2 linked regions of the Macaca fascicularis genome follow. The protein of the gene in region 2 interacts with the protein of the main gene of each other region in a pairwise test. Links are inferred from orthologs where the notes say so. Each region holds a gene or a part of one and is shown on either strand. Other genes may lie near its edges. The genes, in order: melanoma-associated antigen 1 and SH3GLB2.

Region 1 (3,157 bases), on a different chromosome or scaffold from region 2:
GCATATATCTTTAAAAATGTTACAGAATAGACTGAGGTATAAGGCAAGAATTGACTATCTCGGCCGGGCGCGGTGGCTCACGCCTGTAATCCCAGCACTTTGGGAGGCCGAGGCGGGCGGATCACAAGGTCAGGAGATCGAGACCACGGTGAAACCCCGTCTCTACTAAAAATACAAAAAATTAGCCGGGCGTGGTTGTGGGCGCCTGTACTCCCAGCTACTCGGGAGGCTGAGGCAGGAGAATGGCGTGAACCCGGGAAGCGGAGCTTGCAGTGAGCCGAGATCGCGCCACTGCACTCCAGCCTGGGCGACAGAGTGAGACTCCGTCTCAAAAAAAAAAAAAAAAAAAAAAAAAAAGAATTGACTATCTCTTAATTTCTTTAGTTCTTTATCTCATCTATTTTACTGCTCATTTTTCACATTTCTAAGTAAATACTTATTCCACTGCTGTTATTATCCCAATTCACAAAATAGAATGGATTTCCCAATCTGAATGAAACACAAGACTCTTACTACTCAACTATATACACGGCACTATGTGTGACTACTGTCATTCATAAACTTGGATGCTGAAGTTCATTCAACCATTCCTTAAAAGGAACACTTGAACAATTCCAAAAGAGAACAAAGATAAATCTCCAAGTCATCCAATAGAACAGAAACCTACTACTGAGAATGCTGACTGCTCTCTTCAAACAGAGTGAAGAATGGGCCTCACATCACACGAGGCAGGGAAAGCTGCTGGACACGGTCCTTGAAGGTGCACTAGCCCAGCCCCCCTCCCACTGGCCTTGGCTGCAACTCATGTTCAGACTCCCTCTTCATCCTCTCTCAAAGCTGCTCCCTCCTGTCTCAAAGCTGCTTCACGCAGGGATGGGAAGAAAAAGCGAACTCTTGCACTGACCTTGATCACATACTCAAGGACTTTCACATAGCTGGTTTCAGCGAGGGCCCTTGGACCCCACAGGAACTCATAGCGTGCAGGATCACTGTAGGGCACCTGCCGGTACTCCAGGTACTTTTCCTGCACCAAATCTTGGGTGAGCAGCTTCCTGGGCTCCCCATAGGCACTGTGCTCCCTCCCATCATACACCTCCATCACATTCAGCTCTTCCCAGATTTCCTCCTCAGGAGCACGGCCGCCCTCCATTGCAATCATAACCAGGATGATTATCAGGAAGCCTGTCTTGGGCATGATCTGATTATCACCCAGCAGGCCGTCATAGGAGAGCCCCAGGCAGGTGACAAGGACATAGGAGTGGCCGGTGGAGTCTGCTTCCTTCACGTCAATGCCAAAGACCAGTTGCAAGGACTCAGAGGCTTTGCCGAAGATCACAGGAAAGCAGTGCTTGTAATTTTTGATGACTCTCTCCAGCATTTCTGCCTTTGTGACCGGCTCCCTGGCTCGATACTTGAGGAGCAGAAAACGAACCAAATCAGCCACCTTCTTAGTGAGTACTGCTCGGAACAAGGACTCCAGGACACGCGAGGTGCTTGGCCCTTCTTCTTCATGGCTGCTGGAACTCTCATTGGGTTGCCTCCAGCGAGGGAAGTTGATGGTAGTGGGAAAGGCGGAGGCTCCCTGAGGAGTCTGGGGGGGATCTGTTGACCCAGCAGTAGGCACCTCCTCCAGGGTGCCCAGGACCAGAGGAGAGGAGGAGGAGGCGGCAGCCTGCACACACACCAGCCCCAGGGCCTCTTGTTGGGCCTCAAGGGCTTCCTCAGGCTTGTAGTGCAGACTCCTCTGCTCAAGAGACATGATGACTCTGGTCAGGGCAGCAGGCAGGAGTGTACAGGAGCTGGGCAATGAAGACCCACGGGCCTGGAGAGAGAGGGAGTGTGTGAGAGGCCTCAGCTGAGAACTGAACCTTGGAGACTCTAATAAAGGCCTACTTACAGATCTTCTCCTTGGTGCTCCTCTGTGGCCTCCAGGGAATCCTGTCCTCCAGGTTGGCCTGTCCCCTGAAAACCTGAAGGAGGAAGTGAGAGGGCACTCAGGGTACAGCCGGCCAGCAGAGGTCGATTCTACAGGACTGACGGTAGGGAGGTGAGGCCAGACTCTGTGGAGTTCCATGTGTCCTGCGGCAGGCGGGGCCCTTGGTGTGCATTCAGGGCAAACGTTGACTGCTGGCACAGCCTGTGCGTCCTCTGCTCTGTGATCTGAGGACACTGTCTCAAACCAAGGCCTCACTGCCTGGTTCTTGGAGCTCCTGGAAGAGGAATCCACGGGCCCTCAGGGTGCAGACTGCAAGCACAGCCCTGGGCCCTCAGTGCTATTAGGAGGGTGGGCTGGACTCTGTGACATCCCCACTCTCATGCGGTGGATGATCCCCTCTGTTCTCACGCAGGGCCCTTGCATTTTTCCTGGCAGGACCTGGATCCCACCCTTTTGCTGGTCTGAGAAATCCAAATAAAGAGCTCACATCCATGATAAGGAACAGAAAGACAGGAGGGGACCCACATCTGGCCACTCGGGCCTAGGTCCTCGGGGAAGGACAGCAAGAGATATCAAAATTCATTGGAATTAATGTGTCCTGGGTGAGGCGCCTGTTTGGTCCTCACCTTGACTCCTGGCAGGGCCTGGGACTCTCCCTCTACTGACCTGAGTGAAGCCTTCTCAGATCAAGGCCTCCCCCTCCCTGACATCAATGATCCCAAGATAAGAGAGGGACCTTGGCAGACGACCCAGCCCATGCTCTCTGGGGTGACAGCAGGGGCAGAGCTGATTTCTGTGCGGTCTCTGTCAGTGTTCTGGCCCTGGGGTATCCTCAATCCTCCCTCATGTTCCTCACCCAAATGCATGGCAGATCGTAGGACTGCTCTGTCTTTAGACCAGATGGGGGTCCCTATGTTGACCCGAGTCACCCTCTGAGAACAAGGTCCTCACCTCTCTGAGATCTGGAAACAGGAGTAAGAAGATGCCACACCCTGGGTGAAGTGTCCAGGGCTGACCCCTTTGGTTCTGGGGTGAGGATTCCAATAGCCTTGTCTGGCTCACTCATCTTTATTCCTGCCAAAGCCTGTGCTTCCTCAACCCCCAATTCCCTGAGATGGGTAGACATCCCCCCTTTACCCCAAGACCCCATCTCCTTGCGGGCTCCCCAACTTCCTGCCTGTGGTACAAGTGAGACTAGAACATACGGCCATCCCTGATCTG
Region 2 (3,808 bases):
CCCTCCCTCCATCACCCATTGGAGAAATCCACCCAGCAAGTGCATCCTGAGGGCCTACTGTGTGCTACAGGGTACTGTGGAGAAAACATTTCCCCACAGAGGGGAAACTGAGGCCCAGGGAGGGAAAGCAGTAACCCCTCCCCAGTGGGTGTAGGGCAGAGTGAGAAACAGACCAGACCCCACAGCAGCAGGTGTGCCTGTACCCTGCCACCCCTTCTTCCCCAAGCCCAGCCCCCCAGGCCCCAACTTACCTTGTCCACCTCATCATTCCAGAGCTGTGGAGACGGCAGCAGGAGTGGCCAGCAGGAGAGGGGAGAGGAGGACAGCTGGACCCTAGAGCCTGTGCCCTGCCCCAGCTCCCAGACTCAACTTCTGCCCCCTGCCCCTCTGCCCCACCCGCCCAAACAGGAGCTGAGACTGGGCCGAGGCAGGCCTGGGAGCTGGGGGCTGGCAGTCCCAGTCCCTCTAACATGCCTCATGCAGGAAGGGAGCAGCCAGCGGGAGTCCTGCTTCTATTTCTCCTACAGTGTCAGCCCCAGACTCTGAGTGGGGTCTGAAGAGAGACCGAGTGCCCCACCCCGTCCTGACTGTTGGCTCAGGCTGGTGGGCTGGGAGACAGGACCGTGTGACCCTGGGCCAGTCACTGAACTTTTCTGTCCTCTGGCAGAGAAAGGCAGCCTCGTGCCTGAGTCACACTGGGACTCAATGGCAAAAGAAAAACAGGGCAGTCTCCACCCTCTAGGATGTTTCTCCTTCCACTGGGCACAGGGAGGAGGCGGGAAGTGGATCCTGAAGAAGAAAGACCGTGCCCGGCCACGACCGGAGACCCAGCGCTCCTGCTGCTTCCGGAGATCTGACCCGAGACAACAGCCCGAAATAGGGAACGCGGACCCAGGCCAGTGTGCGTGGCCCACCCATGTGGCCCCCATGCTGCTTAGGAAGTCCCCGTCCAGGAGCACTGGAAGTTGCTGTGAGAGCCAACTAGGGTTGGTGGCCTGAGGGAGTCACCCAGCCACAGAACGACGGCACGAAAGACACAAGGCAGCATGCTCACGACAGAGGTGAGGGTCTCACCCCTGGGGGCGGGAAGGAGAGAAAGTGGGCAGACAAGGTGCAGCAGTGGTGACAAGCATGAGGGAGAGGTGTGGCCGAGTCCCCAAACTACACAGGAAATACCAGACATCCCAAGAAAGCTTAAAAACCATGACATGCGAAGCCTCCACGATCCTGTCCTCCCCACCTCCTGCCCCGACTCCCCCAGGGGCCCTGCCTGAGCCTCCTCAGGACAAGACATGCCCTGCTCCAGAACCTCTGGGCCTTAGCACAGCCTCAGGCCCTCCCGCCCCCCAGGCGCTCTCCAGGCCTACACGGCAGTCCACTGCCTCCTGTCTTTAGGGGTCTGTGAACTCCAGAAAGGCACGGCCAGGCCTCCTCCTCTATCCTCAGGGCCTCCCCAGGGCCTGGCATTCAGAGACAGCAGGAGGTGGAGGGGCCCTGAGGATGGGACAGCTGCCGCCCTGAGTTCTCCACGCTACTCGGTACAGCTGGCCCTGCCGCCAGCTCCAGCGTTTTGCAGAGGGGAAGCAAGTCCAGCTCCATGGCCACAGGGCACAGGGGCCAGGCTGTGGACAGAGGTGGGGGCTGCTGCCCCTCCCCAGTGTCTCAGGACTGACCTGATCACATGGCAGTGCCCCCACCTTACCCGCTGGCCTCTAGCTCCTGTGCAGTCAGAGGCAGTGGCATGGGACTTGGGGAGAGAGGACGAGGGGTCGGGTGGGGGTGGGGTGCGCTTACCGCGGAGGCGCTGGCTGAGAGAATGTAATTACGAGGTCTAGTCTCCTGAAAGTCAGGCACCGTCTGGTGGGGAACAGAGTTCATGTGGGGAGGGGGTCACCCTGGGCCAGGGCCAGGGTCGAGGTCAGGAGGCTACCCCAGAGTCTTGCACAAGGAGATGCCAGGAGGCCTGACCCCAAGGACAGGGGGATACAAACACAACACAAACCCTCTTCTCCCGACTCCAACCACCTGGAGATGAGGGGCCTAGGGACGTGGAGAGTCCAGACAAAGATCAAGCGGCTGTAGGCACTGGAGCCCAGGAGACCAAATGCGGTGAGGACACAGCCGAGGCTGCCTGAGCAAGTCACAGGCTGGGCTCTCCCCTCCCAGGGGCCACAGCCCCCTCCTCCCAAGACCAGTGGCTCAGATGCTCCAGGGTCCCACAAACACAGCCCACCCCCACCTGGGATGGCTTTTTCCATCCCAGAATCTGCACACCGCATCTCTCACTCCTGCATCAAGGGCCAGGCCCTTCCCGACAAGGGTGGACAGATGGATGCATGGGCAGACAGAGTGACAGACGTCCAACATTTGCAAAAAGCTGACTCACAGGCCCCAACGCCTGGCATCCCCCCTAAACCAGAGGCCCTGCACAGTAGAGGCTCTGGCGGGGAGACCAGCTGCTTGCAAAATGCCCCAAGGACGTGGGCTGGCCACGGCACCGTGGGTCCACGGGCAAGATGGGCAGACCGGAAGCAGCACAGCGCATGGGACAGGTATACTCACATCTCCCTCACACTGAGCCAAGTTACCCAAAGCAGGACGGAAAGGAACAAAAACAAAGAGTTAGTGAGTCCACAGCGCAGGCAGGAGCAGGCCCCCCAGGCCCTAGTGGGAGGGGACACCAGGCGGTCAGGCGGAGGGAGGCACCACAGCCTGCTCTCCTGAAGAGTCCTAACGTGTGTGTGCTTATGGGCACAGAGCTGTGGGGCTTGAGTCCTCTGGAATGCTGTTCCCCGGGCTGCCCAAGTCCTAGCTCTGGAAAGGGTGGCCTGGCCCAACCCCAGGATGCAAGGTTGTCCAGGCCCACCAGGCGAAGGAGAGGTCATACCACTGCAATGACTAAGGAAAGGCTCCCCTGGCCTGGCTGATGGAGTGTGTTCTGACTGAGTTACTCCAGAGACATTGTCTGGCCCTGAGTGACGGGGGAGACTGTCCTGTTCAGGTGACTTAAAAGAGGTCATCCCAATAGGCACAGGTCACCCTAGCCAACCCCAAGATTAAAACAGCTATACCCCTGCCTCTGGTCTAGACCCCACACACTTAAGTGACCTGAGACCCTGCACACAGTTTTCGCCACGGGCAGTGCAGGTTCTGGGGCACACTATGGGAGGGGAACACAAGGTGTATGGACAGCTGTGAGCCCAGGCTGGGCCTGGCCTCCCTCGGCTAATCACCCGGCAGCCACAGGTAGCCATCTCCCAGCAGGCCCTGGGCCTGGGAGTTCCCTCTGCAAGGTGTGAGGCAGCCTTTAGGCCCTGCACCCCGAGCAACCTCTCGTGCCAGGAGGGTGTTCACCCTTGGGCCCAGCTCCTCTGATCCTGGCCTCGCCCTGGGCACATTGTCCCAGGCTACGTCCCATTGACCCAGCCAGGCTGAACAGGCCTCAGTGGGCTGGGAGTGAAGGGGGCGCCAGACGGCCCAGGCCCTATCCAATCTCATGAGGCTGCTTGATAGGGCCCCTCAGACACAGCCCTGAGCAAGTGGGCGGTCCAGCTCCCAGGTTCTCCACACCATCGTGGGGGCGCCTGAGCACAGGGACCCTGGGCCTGACGTTCAAGCAGCAAGTAGTAGAGTTAGTAAGAAGGTGCCATACCTGGGCAGAGCCGGGGACAGAGCCGAGCATCTAGGAGGGCAGGGCATGCAGGGGACTCCAGCTGCCTGGCGGGGTGACTGTGGGGTACCCTGCACCCAGCTGGGGGCACTGCTGATCCACCCACACCGTAAATGTCTCCCCGGGAACCAGAGCTCG

The links.
Region 1: the proteins of SH3GLB2 (region 2) and melanoma-associated antigen 1 interact in binary tests that used the Homo sapiens proteins (3 or more experiments, as listed by UniProt). The two-hybrid records come from large-scale screens. The link is inferred for Macaca fascicularis from reciprocal best matches to the Homo sapiens genes SH3GLB2 and MAGEA1.

Annotation. Positions count from the first base shown.
Region 1 is NC_088395.1:159,218,343-159,221,499, reverse strand, and holds melanoma-associated antigen 1, read right to left. Parts: upstream 1,792-3,157; 5' UTR 1,760-1,791; coding exon 809-1,759; downstream 1-808.
Region 2 is NC_088389.1:14,931,950-14,935,757, reverse strand, and holds part of SH3GLB2 (endophilin-B2), read right to left. Parts: intron 2,575-3,808; coding exon of another isoform or gene 2,563-2,574; intron 1,858-2,562; coding exon 1,795-1,857; intron 348-1,794; coding exon 252-347; intron 1-251.